Linked DNA regions of Rattus norvegicus. Each later gene encodes a partner of the first gene's protein in a complex. Links are inferred from orthologs where the notes say so. Each region holds a gene or a part of one and is shown on either strand. Other genes may lie near its edges.

Region 1 (3,524 bases):
ATGAAGCTGAGGTATGTAAGTCCCAGAGGGGGCCTGAATCTGGCACCGACAAGGACCGGCTCATTGTCGGGAGCAGGTTCTGGTCCCCACCTCTGAGAAACAAACCACTGGTCCTCAGGATACCGTTCTCTTGTGGCCTGCCCTCCTCTACCTCATACCAGCACACGCATTTACACTCTTACACACACCACTTCAGACACGGGCTGGGACTGTGACAGACCTGGGGGTTTTGAGAGCCTGGAGCTGCTGCAGGAACGTAGTGAGCTGCTGCTGCGGCGGCGTCAGGTCCCCCATAGCTGCCTTTTCCCGGAGTGTCGCACACTGCGGGAGCTGGCGGCTACAGACATACTGGGCTCAGACAGTGGACCCCACAGGGCCACTGCCTTGTCCACAGCAAGCCCCTGGCTCCCCATACCTGCCAACCAGCTGCAGAAAGTGCTGGTGCTGCAGCTGCTGGTACAGGGCTGCCGCAGCCAGCTCCTGCTGCTTCTTCAGCCGCTCCTGATCCATGTTCCCCTGTGGGAGGCCAGAGCATGCCTGTGAGGGAGCCCAGCAGGAGCATGCCCAGCAAGCAAGGTGGTGGGGAAGCCTGCGGTCCTGCTGCTGCCCCCACTGGCCTTCCCTGCAGCCTGCCAGGCAGACAGTGCTCACCAGCAGCGGGGGTGGCGAGGGCCCTGGGGCAAAGGGCACACGGCCCCACATCTTGATCACCTCTCCCAGAGGCTGGAAACCCTCATCGCAGCCCCTCTTCACTAAGAGGGACATGGAGAAGTAGCCAGCCTGGAACCACTCAGCCATCTCCTGGGTTGTGAAAGGGCCTGGAACAAGGGCGTCAAGAGGGTTAGGAGGTGGCCGCGGCATGGTCAGAGGGCACGCTGAGATCTGCCTGAGCACCAGAGAGTCCCAGCAGTCTGCTACCCGATGCTACCTTGGATCTCTCCCTGTGGGTCCTTGTAGAACCACTTTCGGGCAGCGCCATGGCTGAGGGGAAGGGCAGTGGCGGCTGTGGAGTGGCGTAGGCCCTGGGTCTGCATGGCAGCAGTGAACTGCTCCTCCTCCAGGGAGCTGTCCTGCAGGGAGGCCACCAGCTTCTCTGCCTCCTATAAGTCCAGGAAGAAAGGCAAGTCTGAGCCGCCTCAGGAGGCTGGGCTTGAGGGCAGGCCAGAAACCCTGTCAAAGAAATCTGGGACACATAAGACAAAGTGCTCTGCAACCCTGGAGGGGAGGCCCCGAGCATGCACAGGCACCCCCAAACCTGTTGCAAGTGCTTCAAGCCTTCTTCATCTTCTAGGTCTGCAGGCGGGCCTGCAGGAGGGGAACTGATTCTTGGACTTAGAGGCAGTCCCCTCATCTCGTCTCCTGGGAAGAAATGGGAAAGCAGGGAGGGGTGGAGAAGGGACAAGATGGCTCCTGTAGCTTCTAGGAAAACAGGCGGTTGCTACTACTGCCCTTCACCAGCCACGCCCTGTCACTCCCTTCTGCACAGCTCAGGCCAGCCTACCTTCAGCCGGGGGCAGCTCTTTCTCCACTGCCTCACCATCTTCATTCGCTGTCCAGAGAGGGCCCAAGGCAGGCAGTGAGGATGGGGAGCTCGACTTCTCTGAAGGAGGCAATGGGGTCACTTCCTTCCCTCCTGGAAGAAACAGATGATTACTAGAACGCAGATGCAAAAGAGCTGGGGCCACGGAGCTGGCTGGATGCATAAAAGTGCTTGCTTCCCAGGCATAAGGACCTTGGGTGAAATCCCAAGAACCCATATAAAAGCCCCATGTGCTAGCTACCATGTCTCTGTAATCCCAGTTCTCCTATGGAAACATGGAAGAGACGGAGATCTGCCACAAGTTTGTAAGCCTACTTCAGCAAAAAAACAAACAAACAAACAAAACAACAAACAGACAAAACCCCCCACAGACCCTACCTTAAACAAGGTGAAAGGCAAGGACCTATGCCCACGGTGTCCCCTGACCTGCCCACATACACAGGCAGAGTAAAACCGCAGGGGACACGAGTCAGCATGTGCATGGCTCCATGGCCTTGGACAGTAAGTCTATCCTTCTAACCCTGGTCAACACCCTAACTGAGCATGAGCACAGACTCGAGAACCACACACCCGCCTTCATTAAACACACTGACTCCCGGCTCTGCTGTGAGAGATGGGAGGAACCACATGTAAGGAGGGGCTCTGTGGGCACCTGACAAAGGTTGCTCTCCTACACCGGACCCTAAGACCCCCAACACCTCCCACCCCCGGCACACACAGCACATGTGACATGTGCTGCAGGTTAGAGGACAACTTGGTTCTTCTCCCTTATGATCATGTGGGTTCCAGGGATTGAACTCAGATCATGGCTTGGCGGCAAGCCCTTTTACATGCCAAGCTGTCTCACTGCTCCTGCCTTAACCCTTCTAAGTGGCCTGACCTTACAGACAGACAGGTGGGCAGTCAGTAGCCAGGTTGGTAACAGATCTCTCTGCCAACCTGCCCGAACCCAAGATTCTCAGAGCTCATTCCTGCAACGCTCTAAAGGCTCACCGGCCTCAGGCCCCTCTTCATCCACCCCATCTGATGGTTCCTCTTCCTCTTCCTCCAGGCCCTGGAAATCAAGCTCTTGCTCCTCTGGAATAGGTTCCTTGGGGCCCTTCTGTGTGGGAAAGGGCAGAGTGGACATAGTGGGAGGGTGGCTGGAGGACAGCTTCTGCCAACCCCAACTGGTCCAAGACAGTACCTTAAGAGGCAGGAAGGCTCCAGAAGCATCAAAAGTACCCATCTCCTCATCCTCATCATCCAGGCACCACTCTGGGAGCCCATCCTTGTCATCTTCAAAGCCATCCAGCCCCCGGCATCTTCGGAGGTGTGAGTTGCCTCCCCCAACTCGCCCATCTTCTTCACCACAACCTCCGCGTTCCCCTCGCAAATCAAAATCAAACTTGCGCCTCCGCTCTCCATGCTCCCGCCAGCCAGCAGAGCGGGGACCACCGTCTGAAAGAAAGTTAGAAAAGGGGGGAAAAGCTCCAGTGTTCAGCCATATCAAGACCCACCTTCTCTGGCTCACCAGGCCTTCCCAACTAGCATGGCTTCCTCTGGAATTTTCTCATTCCTCCCGTGCAGGGCCACCTCTTCCCCAGTATCACCAAGATATCCTGAACCCCACCTTGCTCCCATCTTACCAGGACTGGTGGAACGCCAGCGATCACCATCTCGCCGGGGTCCTGCCCCAAGTCTCCAGCTGCTATCATCCTCTTGCTCCTCTCGAAGTGAGCGCCAATTCTCACTGTCTGAGCGCGCATGCTCCTTCCTCGGGCCAGCCCCTCCCTCCTCAAAGCCAGATCGTACTGGCACAGGGGAGACAAACAGTAAATACGGAAGAGCCTCAAGATAGCTTACTCCAGTCTCTCTCCCACACTCTACCTGGGAACCCCATCTCGGCTGCCTCCCTACCCTACTGGCCACCACATCCAGTACTCTCATACCTCCATCCCTCCTTGCAGACTTCTCAAACCGCCTCTCACCTCTGTGGAAGAAA
Region 2 (4,391 bases), on another chromosome or scaffold:
AGATTTGCTGAATGAGCACCAGGAAGCACTTTAAGCTAACTACCTGTTCTTCAACTAGAGCACATGCAGAATGCAAGCCAGTCACAGCCAGTAGCCCCTCAGCTTGTGCTCCTATTGGAAAGGAGCCCTGGGCGTGTTGATGGATGGCTAGGTGTGTGTGGACTATTGGTGCAGCAGACCTGGAGTCCGGTGTGTGTGTGAGGAGGAGTCCCATGAGAGACAGTTGGGAGGTGGCTAGTAGTAGGGACTGGAATTAGTTCAGTGCTAAGAGTGCCATTGGATGGGATGCTAGGCTGCCAGAGCCAAGGTTGCCCATGCTAAGCCTAGGCCTGTAACCAGCCAGCATCTGGGCTTCAAACCCACATACTAACCTCACAGTGCCACGGTAACAGGTGTCAAGAGGGTCCTTCCTCCTGCAACTCCCCATGGTGCTGACTGAAAGAAGGGCCAGAGCCTGTGTTACTGGGAGAGCATGGAGCCATCAGGAAAGAGATAGTGACCCCTGATGCATGCACACCACTTGGGCTAGCTATAGCACTACAGCCTAGGTGTTAGCTGTCTTCACTTTTTAAAACAGAGTTCTTCCATGTTGCATATCTTGTAATAGCTCTCCAGCTGAACAGGGCTCTGTATAAAAAGATAATCCGTGTCAGACAAACATGAAGTTAGAGCATACATGGGAATCACCTCCACAGAGCCTGATCTGTTGGATGAGTTGGATAGAAATCACAGATCATTTCTAATAGGGAGCCCCAGTGATGGCAGTCTCTGAGACAGCACTAAGTGTCCTTACTCTGTAGACCCCACACAAAGCCCTGCACTAGTCGATTTCTCCACAGTTGTGGGCAGAACAAACGAGACAGCTAAGCCACTTGACAAAAAAGCAGGGCAGCAGCTGTCATACTGGAGGGGAACCTCCATTTCTGACTCCTCTCAAAGTGGCTCTATCATGTTGATGACATTGTCTAGATCAAGACTTTGTGCACAAATAATATCCCTGCCCTGTATCCTGAGTGTGGAGTTTCAAACCCAGGGCCTCACGTACAAGGCTACAAGCACCTGAGCTATGGCGGCAGCACCCTCCTACATACAGGTTAGTCTAGGGGTTAGCCTGTGGGCCACTCTGGCCTTAAACTTGTGATTCTCCTGCCTCAGCCTCCCAGACAGCTGGAATTACAGTCCTGTGCCCTCACTCCTGGTTGCTTTTTTACTTCTTCATTGGCTTTAAAGTAGTCATCATACTAACACTGCTTCTTAAATATTTAATAGGGTAAAAGAACAGGAAACACAAGAAGAGGAACGTTTGATGGAAGAAAAGAAAAAGAAAAAGCAGGAAGACAAGAAAAAGAAGGAAGGTGCTCAGAAAAAGGTTTGCTAGGACTCCTTCCATGTCCTCCATGTCATGTCTGCATCAACATGGCTGTCTCATGTCCAAGGTTGATTCTAGTACTGTTTTACGTCAATATGCCGAGTCTGGAATGAGTAAATATAGACACTTGGCTAGTGAGGCGAGTACAGAGTGCCGGTTACAGAAGGTCTTTTCTACAGCGTCAGGCGTACTGAAGCTGTGTCCAGGGCAGCGCAGCTTCTGTGTAAAGAACGCTCTTGCTGCCTCCTGAGAATGGACCGCCCAGCCCAGCCCACCCACAGCAGCCTATCGAGACATCAGGGAGAACCAGGAAACTGACAGTATTAGAAAAGCTGGAAATAATTGTTACAGTCTTAGTAAACATTCTTTATAAATCCTTATAAATAAATAAGTTCTGTAAACCAGTTTGGAGAGATGACTCAACAGTTAGAAATATTTTCTTTTTAAAAAAATTCTGTTTTTTAGAGCTCTAATTTAAACCTTATAGTCATATTTTTTATTTTGTGGCATGTAAAATAGCCAAATTATACTACCCACCCTTGCTTTCATCTCTGTACTGAGCCGTGAGATTGGAAGGATCCTTCTAGACTGACACACAGGGAGTTCAGATAGTGTCCATTACAATGTTTGCCAGTCACTAACTTAGCACTGTCCTGTGGTCAGAGTAGGATTTTTCTCAGTAGTAAATTAGCTAAATAAAAGGTTTGCTTTTAAAATTTTAAGAATTAAAAGTTTTAGTCCCAATAGTCACTCACACTCACTTGCTTGCTCCCCCCGACCCCCAAATTAAAATGAAAGGAAAACAGAGGCAGGCAGATTTCTGTAAGACTGAGGCCAACCTGGTCTGTGCAGTAAATTGCAAGACAGTCAAGGCTCCATGTCTCAAAGAAACTAAGAAAAAAACCCTAAAATAATTAAAAGTCTGCCTATAAACCTTCATCAGTGTGGACATTGCATTCAATTGTCTCTAAAAAGTTTCTCTTTTTTTTTTTTTTTTTTTTTTTTCAGGCTGCTGATCAAAAAACCAAAGGTAAGTTTTTTTTTTTTTAAATAATATATTTTGTGAGGGGAATACTTTTTATAGTAGCTTCAAACTTTGCAATGGTGTGACTTTTGTAAAATTTATTTTATGTTTATGGGTATTTTGCCTGCATGTTTGTCTGTGCACCAAGTGTGTGCAATGTCCAAAAGGCCAGAAGAGAGCCTTGGATCTCCTAAAACCGGAATTAAGACAGTTGTGAGCCACCATGTGGGTGCCCAAAACTGAACCAGGTCCTCTGCAAGAGTATCAAGCCTGGAGTTAATTGATACCTGGTGGGTGAAAACAGAGGCTCTAACTGTCTTCTATTGTACTTTCAGTATACATTGTGAAGCTCTTCATTTATGACTGATTTTATTCTGTGTTTTTTTCATTGTCATTAGGTTAATATAAAACTGCCTAGAAAATGTCATCTGCATTTTAAACAACACTTTAAAATTTCCTTTTGATTTGATTCCCACCAAATAAGGATCAAATTCAGGAATAAGAAGACCCAAAGAAAACTGAATATTTTTAAAGCTTGAAAGTCCTTGCTGCCATCTATTTCTTGCAGTGTAGCTTGTTTCTCTCTTACTGATGGTCAGAGGCGTCTTTCTTTCCAGAGCTGGCTGGCCTGTTGTTTTGACAGTGTCGGTGGGAACACAGGCAGCTCTCAGTGGATGTAGCTCAGGCGTGCTGAGTATGCTAAGCTCAGGGAAGCTGTACTCCCAGACGCCCACCTTCATACCTGAGTCCATAGGGACGGTTAGGAGAGGCACATGCCGTGGGTCACAGAGGCCAGCTCTGTTCCATCGTGCAAGGTGCTGCTTTAATCTTCAGGTGCCACATCTTTAAAATGAGAGAAGTCGATGGATTGCTCTTGCCTGCTAGGGCTGCTGTACAGACAGATGAGCCAGCCCACACGGGAAGGGTAGTGTGGCAGCTGGAGTGTCGCTGGGGTCCAGTGGAGGGCTGTGGCACTGACTGGCATGTCCTTCTTTTGTCTTCCCGTGGACACACAACTGCACATGCAGATGCTTACATCATAAGGATTTTTGCAAAAGTTCTGTCAGCTGCTCTGTAGTAATACTTCGTATCTAGTTGGCATCTTGTAGTTTTAATATCAAAATTATGTGTAGAATCTGAACTCATAATTGAGCAGGACTTAGATTAAGTTGTTGGTTTTTCTATTAGTAAATGCAGAACTAGTGGAACTACAGCTTTGACCCTGTGTGTTAGTCCTTAGTCTTAGTTCCTAGAGATGGGTTTGCTGGTAATGGGCATTAGAAGCAGCAGGGTTCTGCTCTGTTAGAATCTTTTCAGAAGGCTCCAAAAGGACTGGCTATGGCTGTATCTGAATTTATGATCTCAAATAAAACAGTGGTTTTTACTGCCATTTATAAATGTGGGACTCGTCCTACACTGTTGATATCCTCCCCACCCCTCGTTCGTGTGTGTGTGTGTGTGTGTGTGTGTGTGTGTGTGTGTGTGTGTCCCATTTTCACAACCTGTTTCATTGTCATTTATGATTCTTTACTTCTCAGGCTGTGACTGCTCACAACTGTGTGGTGACTGAAATCCATCTCCTGCCCCTTGTGGAATTACTGGTTTCTGTTACTATGCTGATGAGTGTTTGTACTGGGGATTACTGACTGCCAGCTTCTTGTATCTCCCCTGAGTTGCTGATTTTTTTGGGGGAACAGTTTGTTGGTAGCTGTATGTGGCCTTTGGATTTGTCCTAAACACAGTTGTTTGTGTCGTAGAATTATAAAGGCTCTAAAGTCTTGTACATAATTTTCTACTTTAGCTAATTATTTCTACTTTATATGTATGAGCATGTTGCCTGCATGTTTGTATGTGCACCACATGTGTGCCTGGCATTCTTCGAGGCCAACAGAGGGTGCTGGAGCCATTGGAATTGCAGGGCGGTTTGAGCTGACCTGTAAGTGCTGGGAACTGACCTAGGTCCTCTGAAAGAGCAGCAAGTGTTCTTAAGCACCATGC

The links.
Region 2: the proteins of Gigyf1 (region 1) and Tnrc6c are in contact, whole or in part, in a crystal structure (PDB 7RUQ), measured with the Homo sapiens proteins. The link is inferred for Rattus norvegicus from reciprocal best matches to the Homo sapiens genes GIGYF1 and TNRC6C. Residues at the interface, in NP_001362694.1 of Homo sapiens: Tyr479, Asp481, Pro482, Gln487, Phe490, Trp498, Tyr503, Phe504, Leu508; in NP_001136112.2 of Homo sapiens: Arg1719, Pro1720, Pro1721, Pro1722, Gly1723, Leu1724, Thr1725.

The regions. Positions count from the first base shown.
Region 1 is NC_086030.1:24,805,430-24,808,953, forward strand, and holds part of Gigyf1 (GRB10-interacting GYF protein 1), read right to left. Parts: intron 3,513-3,524; coding exon 3,472-3,512; intron 3,336-3,471; coding exon of another isoform or gene 3,334-3,335; coding exon 3,169-3,333; intron 2,981-3,168; coding exon 2,727-2,980; intron 2,643-2,726; coding exon 2,534-2,642; intron 1,634-2,533; coding exon 1,502-1,633; intron 1,360-1,501; coding exon 1,256-1,359; intron 1,101-1,255; coding exon 929-1,100; intron 819-928; coding exon 652-818; intron 517-651; coding exon 416-516; intron 338-415; coding exon 221-337; intron 93-220; coding exon 1-92. UniProt on the Homo sapiens protein: May act cooperatively with GRB10 to regulate tyrosine kinase receptor signaling. May increase IGF1 receptor phosphorylation under IGF1 stimulation as well as phosphorylation of IRS1 and SHC1.
Region 2 is NC_086028.1:103,411,015-103,415,405, forward strand, and holds the start of Tnrc6c (trinucleotide repeat containing adaptor 6C), read left to right. Parts: upstream 1-1,306; coding exon 1,307-1,369; intron 1,370-2,377; coding exon 2,378-2,399; intron 2,400-4,391. UniProt on the Homo sapiens protein: Plays a role in RNA-mediated gene silencing by micro-RNAs (miRNAs). Required for miRNA-dependent translational repression of complementary mRNAs by argonaute family proteins.